Linked DNA regions of Nothobranchius furzeri. The protein of the gene in region 1 purifies or fractionates together with the protein of each later gene. This does not show direct contact. Links are inferred from orthologs where the notes say so. Each region holds a gene or a part of one and is shown in the gene's direction. Other genes may lie near its edges. The genes, in order: tdrd3 and fmr1.

What was found.
Region 2: the proteins of tdrd3 (region 1) and fmr1 purify together in Homo sapiens (affinity purification with mass spectrometry; 4 studies listed by BioGRID and IntAct, with this or other methods). This does not show direct contact. The link is inferred for Nothobranchius furzeri from reciprocal best matches to the Homo sapiens genes TDRD3 and FMR1.

What each region holds. Positions count from the first base shown.
Region 1 is NC_091749.1:38,763,667-38,772,961, forward strand, and holds the start of tdrd3 (tudor domain-containing protein 3), read left to right. Parts: upstream 1-3,125; 5' UTR 3,126-3,263; coding exon 3,264-3,301; intron 3,302-4,663; coding exon 4,664-4,748; intron 4,749-7,167; coding exon 7,168-7,233; intron 7,234-7,648; coding exon 7,649-7,809; intron 7,810-9,071; coding exon 9,072-9,213; intron 9,214-9,295. UniProt on the Homo sapiens protein: Scaffolding protein that specifically recognizes and binds dimethylarginine-containing proteins. Plays a role in the regulation of translation of target mRNAs by binding Arg/Gly-rich motifs (GAR) in dimethylarginine-containing proteins.
Region 2 is NC_091741.1:30,651,413-30,660,693, reverse strand, and holds the start of fmr1 (fragile X messenger ribonucleoprotein 1), read left to right. Parts: upstream 1-4,183; 5' UTR 4,184-5,062; coding exon 5,063-5,113; intron 5,114-9,281.

The sequences.
Region 1 (9,295 bases):
GGAATGTTTTACTTCATGCCATGACTGTTGCCGTGATTTTGCACTACATAAATAAATTGAATTGAAATACTTCTTTTAACTTTGCAACTTTTAAAAATACATTTATTGTCTCGCTTCCAATCAATCAATCAATCAATCAATCAATCAATCAATCAATCAATCAATCAATCAATCAATCAATCAATCAATCACTCAATCAATCAATCAATCAATCAATCAGTCAATCAATCAATCAATCTCACTTTCATGCCTGTTGCTGCTGGAAGTCCCACTGAATTAATTATAAGCACTATGACACAGTCATAAATATTAGAGGTTTGCTGGTGGGGCTGTGGAATTAATACCAGGACTATGAGTTCTAGTGAACATGTATTTAGGTGCACAACAATACAAATTAGAAAATAAAACACAGCAAAATCAATTACAGATCATCAATATAAACCTAGTTAACACAATAGGACATGGGGCAGCAGTAGCTCAACAAGTTGAACGGGTTGTTCAGTAATCGGAAGGTTGTCGGAAGATCTTTGTCTCCCCTCTCCCTGCCACACCTGGTGTGGAGTGCGGTGCCTTGGTCTGCCTGGGTCGTGGCTCCCGGGTCAGGGAGTTTAAGATTTTTGGCATCTGCCTGACCAATCCCGGTGGCTGCCTGGTGGGGTCTGGGTCCCTGGGCTCAGCTTCGGACGGAGAATTCTGCTGTTGTGTCCTTGGGCAAGACACCTAACCCACCTCGCCTGCTGGTGGTCTGAGGGACCAGTGGTGCCTGTGCTTGGCAGCCTCACCTCCATCAGTGAGCCCCAGGGCAGCTGTGGCTACATCGTAGCTCATCCCTGCCAGTGTGTGAATGGATGAATGATGCACTGTAGTGTAAAGCACTTTGGAGTCATCTGACTCTGAAAGGTACTAGACAAGTTTATGTCATTTCTCATTTATCATGATTATTGAACAAATATTTAGTCCAATTCCTTTCCTGTTATTATTCTGCAGCTGAAACTCCTCTGTGGAAATGCGACATGAAGTTTATGACACAAATAATAAACTTTCTGATGCTAAATGAAGGAGAAGAAAGGTTTGCTACTAATGATTCTCTTGTTTCTCTTGTTCTGCTTTAAATATCTCAACAATATTTGTGCAGCATGAAATTTTAATTAGGGCCCCTGATTTAAGCACAAAATGTTTATTTTTAAACAAATATTCTAGTTGGTGATCACTAATATTATAAATAGTTATGCATCCTATGGACTTCTCATTTAGTGCTGTGCTTCTTTTATTTGTAGCTACAGTATTTTAATATGCCAAGCTGTTTGGCAACAGTAATTGTCTATGACAGGTGCCATGTTAAACTGTACTGTGGATATGTCTACATTCTGGCATGGAGATCATTTTGGATTTCAGTATAAGTGGATCTGAGTAAAACGACTGTGGATTCTTTGCAACACTGGACAGACTGATGAGAAAAGCTGGTTTGGTGGTGGACACGGAGAGGAGAGAAGCATGAAGAAACTGGTGGCTGTAATGGGCCGCACCCAGCATCTTCTGCTCAACACTATCATCAGGCAGACAAAAATGGTCAGTAACTGCCTCCTGCAGCAACATCCAACAGAATGACTCAGACCTCATCTGTTCCACTGTCTGTTAGGCTGTTGAGCTCCTCTCAGTTGAAAGAGAAAAGACACAAATGAAATGTCAATCAAATCACATCTCTAAGTGCAACAATTAACTTTGACACAGACTCTGTTTGATGTGCGTTTTAATTTATTTTTAATAAAGATTGTCAGTGTCTTCCTTCAGTCACCACTTTTACATTACAGTTTTTCTCCACTGGTTTGGCTCATTTCTTGAAACAGAAATTACATTCTCAAAATAACATGGACAAACCTCCAAACCTTTTGGCAAATGTTCACAACAGAATGGCATTTTGGGGACACTGACTATTCAGATTAGAAAGAAATGTAGTTTTGACACACGAGTGAGCTGTTTTAGGGGAGATATGAGCTTTTGCAGGTAAACCACGCTGTTATGATCAACTATCCATGTTTATTTTGACAAAAGCACCAAGAAGGATGAGAATGTCCGATTTGTGTCGAGAAATGAGCCAAAGCTATTGAGAGGGATCTTTGCCATTTTGGAGACACTGTTTAACCCTCCCACTGTCCTAATGGGTGTGACCCCGCGAGGAAAGTTAACCATTGGGCAGGGTTGATGGTTTATCCCTTGGGTCCATGTGGCAGGGGTGAGGAGTGAGCACCACCTCACCCCTGCCACATGGACCTCAAGGGATAAACCATCAATCCTGCTCTATGGTCAACTTTCCTCGCAGGGTCACCCATAAATACAGTGGGAGGGTTAAATGAGAAAGGGGTTTAGATTGAAGCCTGAGTGAACAGTTTTGAAAGAGATATGAGCTTTTGCAGGTGTTGTGCTAAACTGTAAGAGTGTTTTGCCAAATGATTTTAGAGGTTTGAGAATGAAATTTTTGTTTCAAGAAATGAGCCAAACCAATGGAGAAAACTGCAATATGCAGCCTATTTCAACTGCTTATAAAAATAAACTTCAGTCAAGCAATAATTATAAATACATTTCCCTTAAGTTACTATAGTCATTACTATTACTGCAAAGCCTCTTTCAGGGCTGCATACTTTTGCAATATATATATATATATTAGAGAAAGTCCAGTTGCCCTATCGATCGATCGATCGATCGATAGATAGATAGATAGATAGATAGATAGATAGATAGATAGATAGATAGATAGATGATAGATAGATAGATAGATAGATAGATAGATAGATAGATAGATAGATAGATAGATAGATAGATAGATAGATAGATAGATAGATGATAGATAGATAGATACATTATGTAGGATTTTAATCTTTTTAATTGAGTTCATATGTCATTTCATATGGATGCTGTACCAACGCGTCAGGATGGAAATAAAAAATATTTGTCAATTGTTACTTTTAAAATAATTGTCTTTATGGATGTGTTTGTATTTTTGTTGATTATAAAGCACTTTTAACCATTAGAATTACAGTAAAATCGATTGTGTGGAAATTAAATGTATTTTGACCTTCTCGGCACGCCGTACTCGTACAATGCGTCTCAGTTGGTGACGTAATTACGGTTGGGTCATTCAGAGTTCCCATTAACGAGCTTTGTTTGCAGGATAATATGCATTGTAGCATCAGATAATCGTTCTTGAGGTGGTCCCCTTATAAACCGACGATTGTGTTTATTCACACATCTTCGACTGGACGAAAATGACCGATCTAGCAGAGTCCCTGATCAAAGAGGGCTGGTAGGTAGCATGGTAGCTCAATGGTGCTGCTAGCCGTCTGAGCTGTCAGTTAACTGTTGAATAAAATAATTAGTCGTCACGTTGCCCTTTTTAATACTTGAGAATAAACAGCAACACTCGGAACTGCTCGACTTGTAGCAACATAGTTGGAAAGCTACACGACTACCAGAAACCACACGTCTGCTAGCTGGTTTAACTTAGCAGACGTAGCATTTGAAAGCAGACAGACGTTACTTCGTGCGTCAGACAAGAATCCGTAATAGCGTGCAGGTTCGGTCACTGATACCCGATGGCACTTGTTCAAAACCTGAACAAACAGCTCGTTTTCCAAGTGCTTTTGAAACGACGACTAACAGTGCTGCTGACTTTAATTTCTGGTTATTCTTTTAGAAATTTCAACAATCCAACGAGGCAATTACAGTTTTATTAAATTGATATGTTGTGGTTGGTCAAAATGTATTTATTTCCCTCAGAAATGCATTCATTTAGCATGAATATATCAGTTTCATGTTGTAGTGAAATTCTGCGGGAGTACATCTGAGAGACAAATGTGTTTTGAACCATTTCAGACGCAGGTGCATATTTAACACCTTTTACAACAAACAACACTAATAAAATTCCCAGTTGCAGAAATGTTTGGCTTCGCTTAATTTCACAGTCGGTGTTACTTTTGTAATGTTGCTGATAATAATAATAATAATAATAATGCAAAATGTAATCAATATTAGACTACAAAAAGTTCTAACTCCAAAATATTGATCAGATTGAACCAGAGTGTTTGTTTACATTATGTTCTCTGCAGTGTGCTTTTGTTTATGTTGTTTTACCTGAGCGTTTTGTGCAGGACTTTTAATTGTATTGACTATTTTTTTATTTGAGTTTTAACGTAATTAAAGTGATACATTAAATGTATGCACTAGAGAAAAAAATCTGTTTATGCTTTAGTGGATCTATGAAACTTGTAGACTTTGCCCTCTTTAGTTATTTTGTGAAACGTTATAAAGTTCTTAAGTCTTTTAATTTAGCAAAATAAAGCTGCATTTAGTGTTGTAACCATGTAAAATTAAATTGTAAGACTTTTCTAAATAAGAGGATGCTGCACAACTGAACTCTACGCAAAGTTGACTTTCTCTTACTTTTCAAGTCTGATTGCCTAATTAGTGCATCATATCAAACACTCTTTTTTTGCTCGTATCAGTAAATTTAGGAGGAAAGTCAATAATTTACAATAACAGCTGGAGATTTAACCCCCACTGGGTTTCAGAATATTTTAAACAATGTCTTCTGCATGAAAGACTTGCTCTCCTGCTGGCTCACCTTACTCAGCATTATTTCCTCTTCTCCTTGTGTCATATCTCACAGGTACCTCAGTGATGACGGCATAGCAGAACTGAAGGGATCGGCTGAGAAAATAACACACACTGACATCATTCGTATTGCACTCAATGTAAGTTGTATTCTCTTAGTGTTTTTGTGGTGTGACAGTAGTCTGGGTAGGAAAATGGATGTGAAAAGCATTTTAAAGGTTAATGGAAAAGGTCACATTTTTTTGCATCAGTTATCCAAGAGTCAGCATGTTTGCTGTCATCTTTTGCTTAGCATGAATTTATAAGTCATTTTTTGAAAAACTGCCTTGATTCTATCATCTTCAGTTGCTTCAGGTGCATTTCTCCATCATTCATTCATTCTTTGGTCTGTTTGTCTGATGCCTTCCTGACACAATATCTGGAATGAAAATGAAACTTTTAAAGTTGTGGAACACTGATAAACCCTCTCTACTAGGGATGAGCGGATAAAGCATTTTTGACGAATACGAGCATGAAGTGACTAAAACTCATAAATATCTGTAATCGTGCTGAAGGAAAATCCTCATTGGGTATCTGACTGCCTTCACGCTCTGTGATTGGCCAGTCACATAGAGCGCTCGCCCCTCCCTACACACAAAACTCTGCAGTCGGGAGCTCAGTCCGCGTCCGGCTTATCCACGCACACACACAGACAGTAACAGATCTCTCTGTGCTTGCTTCACTGTTGCTCACATTTCTTCAGTACTCCCTAGGTTTTCCTCAGCTCGCTTTTTTCAGTTTAATATTTAAAGTTACTTTTTTTTGTAACTTACATGGTGCATTTGACAAGACAGAGCTGAAAAACAGCTCGTGCTGCGTCGGTCACTGCCTCCGCTCTGCTCGGGGCTTTTTTGTTTTATTTTTCTCTCTCTCTCTCTCTCTCTCTCTCTCTCTCTCTCTCTCTCTCTCTCTCTCTCTCTCTCTCTCTCTCTCTCTCTCTCTCTCTCTCTCTCAATTAATGCTCATAAATAATGTTCTGATTTTATTGAAAAACTTGTTCTGTAATAGTTTCTTTACTATTGTGATCAAAAATATGTAATCTCAATTCTGAGGCTGCTCTGTAAATAGTGTTTATATAAACAATACACATAGCAACTTCTGATCAGTCCATATCAGTTTCAGACTTAAAATAATGTATTGATGTAAACCACACCTACTCCCGGTTAAACTGCACACACTTCCAGGTTAGGCCACGCCCACTCCAAATACAGATAATTTAGATGATTGAACAGATACAGATACAGATAGTGGTGTACTTGCTCATCCCTACTCTTTACTTGTTATTTCTGATTATAAGCAGTCCCTGTTGAGGTGTTCATGCAGGCTGAACATGTATATAGTCTCCTACACCTGTCTCCTGCATTATCTTCTGGTAGAAATTAGATGGTGAAACTCTAGGATTTGAAAATCCTAACAGGTCTATATCACACTGTCACTTAACATTCATGGACTCACCCATGTTGACTTGTGATGGGGGAGACTGTTGTTGGTGTTAGCATCCAGCAGAGAACATCTCGGCTAGTAGAAGCTAACCACATTAGTAAATCCACCACACAGTAGAACTCCTTCAGGCTTGAGTTATTTGTGGAGATCAAACATCAACGTTGCAGAGCAAGCAGAGTTGGTGGTAGAGTTGCATTGTTGTTAGCCAGTCAGAAGTGACATATCCAAATATCAGGAAGCAAGACTCCAAATCCTGCCTTGTTAAGCTCTCCTCTGACGTGGCATTCTGCTCGTTCCCAAAACAGGCGCATCTGTGCTTTTCTTCCCCTGAGTACGACTTGCAAGGCATTCATTCCTACTAGAGACCACTGTAAATGTATTGATTAAAGTGTCCCACACTTTTAAGGATAAAATTATTCAACCATCACAATTGTTAAATTACAGCTGTGTGTTCTCGAAACAGCAGCTGCATAAATACATAAAAGGACACTATCATTGTTCATAGGATCTCAAGTTTTTTAAATACTTCACAAAAGGAAAATTACAAAGGCGGCTTATCTGACCCACAGTATCAGATGAGTACAGAACACAGGAGCTGCATTCACAGCAGAAGCCTTGACCTTTTCAGGTTGGCCTGGAGCACTGCCAAAAGATCTGAGACGGCACTTGGACACATCACAGTGCACCTGATTCATTCGGCATGTTTTAACTTCAGGGCAGAGCTTAGAGGGCCATAAAATGGGGGTTGGTTTTACCGGAATATGCAATTAAAGAGTTTTAAGTAATTATTTAAATGTGAAAACAAACCAAATTCCTGACATCTTTCTATTATTAATTGTTGATAAATTGTACCTAGAAGGAGCCTTCTTTTTATTGTAACCAATGTCAGAACATGCCTCAGTATGATGCACAGGTCTGTAACTAAATCTGTTAAATCATTGTCATTAGATGCTCACCAAAAAGGGCCGTGTTAATTATTAAACTTTCAGTGCTTCATAATCAGCCTTTTTCCTGCTTTACTCTTACTATGACTTGTGTAATAACTGTTTTTGTTACGATGATGTGTGTTTCTTGCAGAATGATCTTAGGCCTATTGGGAGAAAATTTCTACCTTCTGATATCAACAGTGGAAGAACTGAGAAAGTAAGTGGAACAGAAATTCACAGGTTTCCTGCTAAGTGGTGAAGCACTACTGCCCTTGTTTTATGTCAGAAAGTGTTTGGAAAATGCTTGTAAATGAGTAGCTGCGGTGCAGTTCTCAGGGAAGCCACTAGATGGCGGAGACACACCAACAATATTGTGTTTAAGTTTTTTTTTTTTTTTTTGTGAAACTTAGAAAATGTTTTAGTTTTTAAAACATTGAATATTGACCCTTCTCCTTAAAAGGCTCTTAAATAAAAATAAAGCAATGTAAATTCAAATGGAAGAATGAACAAACCAGTTCTATTATAAGCTGAAAATAAAAGTCTCAAAGCCATTTAATTTCCATATCTGTTATTATCTTCAGTGCTTTGCAGCAGATTTGCCTCTCAGACCAATTTTCTTTGTTCTCTTCCAGTTGGAGGGTCCATGCGTCCTCCAGGTGCAGAAGGTGAGAAACATCTCTGCTCCTAAAGACCACGAGGAGTCCCAGGGTGCACCGCGAATGCTGCGCCTACAGATGACAGATGGGCACACCACCTGTGTTGGATTAGAGTATAAACATCTGTCCAAGATCAGGTATGGGGGCCGGGGGGGGGGGGGGGGGGGGGGGGGGGGTCAAACCAACAGATGCAGTTTAATGTGATTGTTTTGTACGTTAATATTGGCTAGTCAGATTTGCTTAGGTAAAAGTGCCACTTTTTCCCCCTTTGTGTGTGTGCGTGCATGTGTGTGTGTGTGTGTGTGCGTGTGTTTGTGCTCGTGTACTCTAATATACCAGCAACAGTGGGAAAAAAAATGCAACAATGACTAAATATCACAGTTCAGAAATTATGGATAAATTATAAAACTGTAAAGTTTTGAAAACAATAAATAAAAAATAAACTAAACAGCATTTTCTGTAGCAGTCTAAATGCAGAACAGCATGCATTTGGCCCTATCGTCACCCATTCAAAGCTAACATGTACGATTCTGTGCACACACGCTCCTCCTTCACCTCCTTGTCAACACTCTCACCCCACCACATGTCTGAATTTTTGCCTTTATCTGCAATTTCCACTTGGTGGCAGCTGATTTAACGACTTGCAGCCTTAATTACTTCTGCGTCCAAGCAACGGTGGCCTTGGTGATTGCTGCCATGGTGACGGACCAGTCTGTACAGGTGGAGTGGCCAGAAAATGGGCCTTTCCTTCCTGATGGGGGGAGAGTAGAGAACAGAACAGATCCCCTCTTTATGAGCGGCGCACACACTCTCTGGCAGCCAACAGCAGTAGTTAGTGTTTCTGATGGACGTGTTGGCTTTGGTGTGAGTGAGAACATAAGTGGGTGGCAAGGAAGGATGAGATGGATTACAAGACTGTTCACTATGTAAGGCAGTGATATAAAAAGGGGACAATTAAGCATTAAGTAGCATCGATTGAGGTTGAATAGTGTGTTTGTGTGTGATTGAATCAAGGATAGTTTGTTCCTTTTTGCTGGGTTGTCGGCGGCACGAGCGCGCCATCCATCCCAGAGGTTTGGAGTGAAATCCCTAATTGTTACTATGGCTTCCAGCATCAGTAGCTGGAAATCCCTCTAAGTCCCTGTGCTTTCCTAATGAGAGAGGCAGAGGCCTTATCAGGCCTGATGAGATAGAGGCGCTTTTAATTTACCACGAGGATGGGTGAGCAGCTGGGATTATTAATAGCTTTGCCACCCATCTGCTGGCACTGCTCCATGTCATTTAGAGAGTGCTGTGGGTAAAGCTTGGTTTAGACATTTATAATGTTTTATACTCTTAAAATGTGAGCAAGCAGGCTGGAAAACAGTTTATTTTATACATCATTGTTTTTGTTTTGCAGTCTAAACACACCTCCTGGAACAAAGGTAAAGCTTCATGGTACAATCCAGGTAAAAAATGGTCTTTTGCTGCTTGATGACTCGAACATCTGCATCCTTGGAGGAGAAGTCGACCACATGGTGGAGAAATGGCAGCTGCAAAGGGTGAGGGTCCATGATTACCTTGGTAATAAAAATTAAAAAAACATTTTTTTAATAAGAAATCAGAACCATTGCAATGGATCTA
Region 2 (9,281 bases), on another chromosome or scaffold:
CCTGACAAGTACACAAGAATGTACTAGTGTACTTGGGTATTGAGAAATGGCCAATGAGTGAACCCTTTCATTTCTTCTAACAAACAAATGAAATATGTGAAGCTAAATAAGCTTTATTGAATCACAACAGTGAACAGAACACTGTCATGCTTTGATTGATCTTATCTCCAAAACCCACAGAGTCCCTTTTGTTTCTTTGATGACCTTCAAAGCAACAGGAAGTCCCAAATGCCTCATTTAGCTGAATCAAATCACACTAACAGATGAATCCACACACACTGCTAGTTTCACATTTAGGCAAACAGAGGTAATATGCTCCAATACACACACACACGGCATGCAGCAATTTGAATCAGTAGAATAATTTGAGTAATCTTGGGGTAATGATTAGGGATGCACCGATGGATCGGCATTTGATCCCAATCGGCCGATAGCGCCCCTACTGGTTTTGATCGGAGTTTTCAAAATAGATCAAAGCAGACCGATCAGGTAGGGTTGTCACGGTAACCGGTGTAGCGGTAAACCCCGGTAAAAAAAAGTTGACAATAATAATAATAACCATCTTGTTTTAAAAAAAAACTATATTATCTCGGTGGGTTTACCGTGGCTGCGGTGTAGGCCCCGTGACCCTTACCAGCCACCGTATCATCTGCTGAAGTTGCCGGCGGCACATGCGCACTTTGTTGTTTACAACCAAAACTTTGTTGAAGCTAAAGCTGAAATAATGGCCAAAGGAGGAGACGGCAGCGCTCAGGACATTTATTATCCCTCAAAGAAGACAAAGTGGGAAGTATGGGTATGTTTTGGATATGTGAAGAATGCCGAGGGACAGTTTATAGAAGACGGCTACCCTGTTTGCAGCACGTGCAGAAAAAGTGTCTGTGAAAGGCAGCAACGCTTCAAATCTCATGACACATCTGCGTGACCATCACCCACAACTCTACAGTCAACGCAAGGCAAGCTAACGTTAGCGTTTTAGCTAAAATGCGTGATCCGAGGATTTGGGTTGAGGGAGAACGCAACGAGTCGCTATATAAAGCAGCCGCAGCGCCGCTACCTGCATATAAACCGTGTCGCGGACACCGCCATGTTGAAATGACGCTATGCATTATGGGGCTCCCAGGGGCAGATAAGAGTTGGTCTCTCCCCGAGAATAATTATGAATTTAACAATGATTACTGCCTGATGACATTTTCCCACATCTGCAAAGCTCACTGGAAGGACACAAACCGAGGACAATATTCTCCTGATATAGGGTTTGTTACTCAAGTAAGGGTAAAAAAGTATCTGATTAGAAGGCTACTTGAGTACTGAGTATCATCTGATCTAATATTTTTAAATGATGACATCAAACAGACATAAAATAAGAAGTTATGGGCAAATATTGGTATTTTAAAGACTAAAGGGAAAAAATGTAAACAAATAAACAACATAATTACAAAATAACACATTTTAGGCTAAATTTAGACACAAACTGAGGACAATATTTCCTGACATACAGGGTTTATATAATTGTGTGAAAATGTAGCACGTTTAAAAAAAATACCACAATAATACCAAAAACCGTGGTAATTTTGGTCACAATAACCGTGAGGTTATATTTTCACACCGTGACAACCCTAATACAGACCATTTTAGATTAGGTTACATTTCCTTTATTCCCAGATCATGTAGTTTGTAGCACTCATTATAATGTTGTAGAAAATTTCTGGCCAATCCACGTGATCGTGATCGGTATCGGTGATCAGCATTCTTTGATATCGGTATCGGTGATCGGCAGCAAAAAACCTGATCGGTGCATCCCTAGTAATGATCTGGGTCATTTCAGCTTTCTATCAGATCTATTGAGACATTCTATAAATTTTAAGTAGGTCAAAATTGTTTGTTCTTTCTACAGTCAGTTTAGGTAAAAAAAATCAAGATCTTCATATATTTTCACATAGAATGCATGTGGGAAAAGCCACATTGCTCACACAAAAGGGAGCCTAAGTCATGCCCATCTACTTCTGGACCAGACCCCAGAAGAGCAAAAAAATGAATGCAAGTCAACAGGGCTAAATCCGTTATTTTCTAATCCCATTTGTTACGTGCCACGGATTTCACATATGATGCCTGTACATTTTAAAGATTTATTTTGATGCCAACAATGCCCTTATTTTAGGTTTTGGGTGAAAATATGTCCAGGACTACAAATGCGCATCACCGTCATCATCGAACCAGACATGGAGAAAAGCAAAGGGAAAATGGTTGTGAGTTTAACGAACCTTGAATCCTTCCTTCATGAGGAAACCACCATGAATCCCGCCATTTTTGCAGCTAGATCTTCTCGGAGATACTGTGGTGACGCCATATACGCAACGTACCAACGTCTGATGTTAATTACAAATTTTTACAAGCTGATAAGTCTCAAAGTGCGTGACTGGCATGGTCAAAACACACATCATTAGTTCTCACTTAAATTGAAGTACAACATACGGGCGATTCAGGGCGTAAGGCAAAGCAGATTAGAAAATGGCTCTTTCAGCCCCTTGACTTGCATTCATTTTCAACCCGGGCTGCTGCCAGCGACAAAACCGGAGCTAGGATCCAGCAAACAATTACAAAATCATTTAGCACAAGTTTGGTGTAATATTGTGCTGCACAAATAAAGACAGTCACAGCTGGGATAAAACGTTCTCAGCACGAGCTGCAGGTCTATGAAGAGCTAAATCACTCCTCTAGAATTTATCTTGGTAACCAAATTTCCAAAACAGGATATTTATAACACACTTAATTTGTTCTGTATAAGTAAATTATAAGTATATTTTCTTTTTGAAGTTAAAACTTTGGGAGACTCCAAGATTCTTCTATTTTAAATGAGCAGTGGTGACTCAGGGGGTTAGGAATTCATCCTGGAGTTGCTGCAGGTTCTAAACCAGGCTGCTTGAGCGAGACACTTCTCCATCCGTGCCTGCTTATGGCGGTCGGAGGGACCGGTGACGTCTTGTTTTATTTGAACAAGGACAACACAGAAAATAGTGTTTTATTATTTTATTATTACCATTGCTATTCTTTGCACAAAATAATTTTTAAAAGGAAAAATCTAGTTTGCACTGACTGGTTAGGCATTAAAACAGGTACTGTAAAGCTCATTTAACTTTGATTTAAAAATAAAACCAAGGAAATTGAGTTTTCACTACTTGAAAAAGATATTTAGGAGCCTAAGCCAAAGACAACAGACAGTTTTAATGCATGTGGCTGCACACTGAAAATTAATAAAATAAATACCTCTGTGCAGAGTTGGTTACAAAAGCCAACAAAACATTAGGATTCAAATGTGTTTAACTTTCACTCCATCCATCCATCCATCCATCCATCCATTGTCTGAATCCGCTTTGTCCACGTAGGGTCAGTGCCCATCTCCAGCGGTCAATGGGCAATCAGGCAGGGTACACCCTGGACAGAGAGCCAGTCCATCGCAGGGTAACACACACACACACACACACACACACACACACACACACACACACACACACACACACACACACACACACCTAAGGACAATTTAAACAGACCAATCAACCTAACAGTCATGTTTTTGGACTGTGGGAGGAAGCCGGAGAACCCGGAGAGAACCCACGCATGCACAGGGAGAACATGCAAACTCCATGCAGAAAGATCCCAGGCCGGGAATCGAACCCAGGACCTTCTTGCACCAAGGCAACAGCTCTTCCTCCTTCCCTTTCTTCCAGTTGTTTATTTTATGTGTAAATTGGTTGTGTCTTGCTTTGAAAATGTTTGAGCTGTTTTAAACCTAACTAAATCTGGAAATTTCATTAATCCTGACTTCATAAAGAGTTAATGAGTGTGGGCTCTATATCCTGCTTGATTTATAAATCTAATAGACCTTTTTCAGCATTAAAATTAAAATGTAAAATGTTAATTGGTTGTAAATTTGTCTTGTGTGCATTCCCCCAGACTGTTGCACAGTACGTCGGGTATGATAATAGTAATGTACAATATAAAGTATGAAGATCTTTGCTGTTAAAACATCCTTTAGTTTTACCCAAAATGGCAAGCCAACTTCCTTTGTGGCAGTATATTTATTAAAAATGCTAATTTAAACGTTGGTTGATGCACGTAAGCACAAAGACTAGGAATTTTGTATTAATCCAAATGACGTCAAAGTTAAGATATTTCTACTACCCGCAGAGAGCAGAGAAACTCTCAGGTGAGAAGAAGAAAGCGAAGACGTGACGTAACAGAAGCGCGCAGATGAAGAATTATGGCTAAACAGTTTAGCATATAATATCTAGGTAGGCTCTTCAAAGCGGTATAAATAATTATTTTTATTTCCTTGTCAAAAATGAACACTACCAACTTTTTAGATATCACAAATTTCCAAAACAAAAAGTCATATACATCTAAAGTAACGTTGGCTATCCAAAAATTAAAGAAAAACTAAAAATATTTGAGGAAACACGGAATGTTCAGTATTACATTGTGACTAAATTTAGACGTCGATAACCAGATCAATGAAGAGCAAGTATGTAATAACAAATAGCCTACATACGAATCCAATTTAAAACGATTGATGTACTTTACTATAAAACAATTAAAATAATTATTACAGCCGAAATAGTCTGTCCTACTCAACAATTTTAATCCTTACAAGGTAAGAAATTGTTGTGTAGCACAGCTAAAGTCCATGTCCAAAACCAACTTAGATCTAGGTACGATTAAATGTGACAACGGCTTGCTGTACAAACCCACACTAATCACACATTACCGTAACAGGCTAATACAAGCTAACCTGGACAGTCTGTTGCCTTTGATTTTTCAAGCGGTCTAAATTTCACATTCGGAAGGAGCAGGACGAAATATTAAGACGCTGTGCAAAACGGGAATCAATATTACCGACGTTCGCGGGTACCTCGGCCTCTTCTTGCACGCAGCTCGCAGGAAGCGGTCTTTGGTTGAAAACTGATCTTGGCTAGCGTCAGGCTAGCCAGCCAGCTAGCTGGCTGCTAACGTCGCTAGCGGTAGTTAGCTAGCTAGCTAGTGAGCTGTAGTAAGTTGCGCCATGGAGGAGCTGGTTGTGGAAGTGAGAGGGACGAGTGGAGCCTTTTATAAGGTAAGTGGGCGAGTTAAGTGGAGCTTTCTGCTACCGCTCACTGTGCAAACAGCAGCCTAACTAACAACCAGGTTTACTGGGCATCTTGTGTGTGTACGGGCCTGCGTGTTCAGCCCCATCCAGGATGCGGAGGCTGGAAACAAATCCAAAAACAAAACCGTTGCCATCTCAGTGCTTTTAGTGAAATTAGTGACCGAGTCGGGATGCCACTGCAGGGCTGGCGTTTTCCTGCAATTGCTAAAATGTGTTTGTGGTGTGTTCCTGTTCAGTGATGGAGAGGAGTGGTCACTCACAAATGTTCACGATTCAACCCAAGAAAGTCCCAAATAAATACATCAGCGTCCAACTCTGGTTTTCAGATTTGTCCTCCCTCAGTGGACCGGCTGTTTCTATAAAGTCTGATTAGGTTTTGTTTTTAATATCCAAATATAGACGTTTGTATTTATTACATGACTTATGTCAATCAGTGATGGTACAAACACGTTGACACAGAAAGCTAACAGTAGCTCATAAACACGTTTAATGTGGAATAGGGGACAGTAGTACATATTCTACTACTGGAGTAGTGGGATCAAACAGTAATCATAATACTAAAGAACATCAGCTAGGTGCCAGCTAAATGAATAAGTGGTGTGGCTGACTGATGAATTTAGTAAATACAGTCATACAGGTTGGTACATGGGACTCATCTTGCTGAGTTTAATTCTAGTTGTAAGGAGACATATTATTGAACTTAGCTTTCATTTTTGCCTTTTTGTCTTGTCAAACCCAGCTCTTTTATAGAATTTGATCTAATTTTTTATAGAAGGTCTGGGTGTGGTGCTGCCTTAAAACAAAACCATACAATGGACACAAATGCTTCTGCCGCCAAGCTGTTTAGCAGGTTTCATTCTCTAAATGGTCTCACTTATTAAATGTTGTTGGATTTAAAATGCCTTGGAGAAGTTTGAATGTCTCTGCAGCTCTTGTTAAAGCCATACTTTGCAACTTTTTCATATTTTTAAATCATTTTCTTGAGCCAGTATGTGCTAAAATGACCCTTTACCCTTGCTGGGACTTAGAAAATAAAGCCTGGTGTGGCAGTCTGCTTCCAGCACATTACCTGCATGTTTTAGATCATGAACACAGCTGTTTTGTTTAATTTGGTGACGAATCACTCCTATAGACACTAACGAAGGCTGCGGAAACATTTCAGCTGTTAAGCCTGACCCCTTCTTTCCACCGGAGCCGTCAGCAGCACGTTACTGCAGCAGCACGTCTTGCTCGCGTAAGCTGCTGCTTGGCCCTTCCCACGAGACGCGAATCAGCAGGGGAGCAGCTGTCACCGACAGAGCTCGAAGTCACACGAGTGACTTCGTCAGTAAACACAACAACAAGCAGGAGAAAATTACAACATGGCTCCAAAAGGTTTGCGTTTTATGTTCTGTCCATTTTATAATCCAATACGGACCTGAAAAACAAAGGAGGCCGCTAGCTAGGTGATAACTTCTCACGGGGCCGCACAGTTAGTAACTATTTTTTAGAGTAAAGCAACCGGAAGGCAGGACATTTCTTTATTCTGAAAATCTCGGGAAGCTTCGCTCCGTTTTTGCGTCCGATTTCCTGTCTTTCCTTCCCCAAAAATGTCGAACTTGACCCGTTTCAGAGGCGTAGCGCGTAGAAAATAGAACCGGCGCGTAAAGGCCGCGGCATGCTGCTCCTGAGACGCGGCCGACTCGCGCTGCTGACGGCTCCGGTGGAAAGAAGGGGTCAGTCATGCTCCTGCGTCAGCTCCACAAGGGACAGACACGCACGGATTGACAGAAGCGTTTTGCTCTCATACGTCCTCGTTTGCTGAAGGGGTGTTGCAAAGCAATTCTCCGCCAGGACAACAGAGGGCGTAATGTAGGTAGCAGTACAGTGACATCGTAATATTTCCTTGGAAATCACTTCTGCGGTCTGAAAATGGCAAGCAACACGAGAAAGAGTAGTTTGATCGAGTTGGAACTGTGTAATCTAGATGAAGAAATGCTTATCTTGCTGAAATACCAGCGAGAGCATAAAAGGAGACACCACACAACTTCCCACGCGACTCTGGCACTGTTGACAAATTTAAAGGAAATGGCGTCATGACTGAAGTGATCTCAGGTTTCTGGACTGGCCAATCACAAGCGCCTGTTCTCCATCTCGTTCAACGGATGTTAAGAAAAGTGGGCTCGACTCCATACGTACTTACGTGCCTGTCGGGGGGGCCTACGCAAGAACAGATGATGGCGTTGAGTGTCTCCGCATTGACACAGAAGCAGAAGCATTACTCAGCCATTAGATTAAGGTGTTAAAAAGACAAACGCACAGCGAGGAGACAGGTTTCATTTTCACTTTGATCACAGAGAATTAATAACGGACACTAGGGGGTGCTAAAAGCAGCCAAAACTGCCAGTTGTTCCTTTAGGCCAGGGGTGTCAAACTCAAACTCACACGGGGCCGAAATGAAACTCTGGGACGGAGTCGAGGGCCAAACTTCATATTTTTTGAAAAAGTGACGCAAATTTGCACATTTTCTGTATCAACATATATGCAATTTTGAACCTTTAAATTAGGAAACAAACTTATTTCTGCATTAACACTGAATGTGGAATAACCAAATTACACACGAGCAAGTCCGTTTTAAATAAAAGGCATCAGTGGTATTCATTACTTGTGGTATAATCAGCATTTTTAAATCTATTCAGGATTTATGTTTTCTTGTTTATTCATTTTTCTTATTTTTTATTCTCCTTTTTTCTCCTGTAATACGTGTCATCGCTGCTGTGACGTCTAGCTTTCCCCACTGAGGAACAATAAAGGGATTTTCTATTCTAGTCATCTATCTGCAGCCTTTCCACTTCCTGTTTACTGTAGGTTAAATCTTTTCTCACGGGCCAACAACAAAATAAAAATATCATTTCATCTTAAATGAAAATGCAACATCTCACCTGTTAACTTTCATGTTTTGGAGCAGAAAAAGAGCATCAAACCAACATATTTAAAGCTCAGTTTGCTCCACTGGTTTACTGTGATGCTCACCTGTTCCAGCCAGATACCTGCATCATGGGGTTGATCTGAGCTGAGGAGGAGACTCCTGTTGTTTTGTTCATCTTCATCATAATAATGACAACATTAGATGACAACAGGTGCTCACATAGGTTTGTGCTGATGAACATGTCTGAGCTGCTTGACCGCGTTGTTGTGTGTCGGGGAGGAAACACAACCACAGAGTCGTGCTGGTTTGAGCGTGTCGCTGCTCGCTGGAGTTATATCAGCTCTGTCTGGACGTTAGTTGGAAAACTTTCTCTTTCAGTCGTGAACACATTACTGAGCGGCTAGAATCTCCGTTTCTGGGCTTCAACGTCAGAAAACAGCTGAGTGAACTCGGCGCTGAGTGAGAGGAGTGTTTAGTTTGTCCGAGACAGCGGAGCTGCAGACACCCAACTACCTCTGACTGCCTCGGCGCTGAAAAAACACAAAGGAGGGGGCGCGTCGGCTCCGCGCTGGCGCCGCAAAGCATCATGGGAGTTGTAGTCTTTGCGGTAAAATCGGCCAGTGGGCCAGTTTTAATATATTTTTGATATTTATCTCGCGGGCCGCCTTGACTCTGACATATGTGCTTTAGGCAGGTGAGGTACTCTGGGGCTCCCAGCCCTTGTCTTATTTTTAATCGAGTTTTTGGAGGTTGCTAGTTTGCTAACTTAGGTAAGTGGCTGGTGGGTATCTGGTTAACTTGGGTTTCTGGCTTTTATCAATGTTTTGGTTGGACTTTTGGGATTGAGTAGTGGTTTTTTATCTATATCTTGTATACTGCTTTTAAGTGTTTTGATTAACTTTTACAGCTATACTTTGTATTTCTGTGCTTTTCTTTATGTGCATTGATTGCTTTGGGCACTATTTGGGTCAGCTGCCTTGCTGTTTTATAAGTGCTTTATAAATAAACTTGGTGACAATAGATAATAGAAAATAAAAAAAATTTGCAGAGTTGAGTTATTATTACAGTAGCATATTGCTCAGAAAACATACAAATTAGTTGCCCACCATTTGAACCGTTGAGCGTTTTCTTAATTATGTAGCCTGTCAGTCAAAATTCGGGCAAAAAAGGTATTCTTATAATTTACAAACATTACCCCCTCCCCCCTCGCGCCCGCAGAGTAACGGT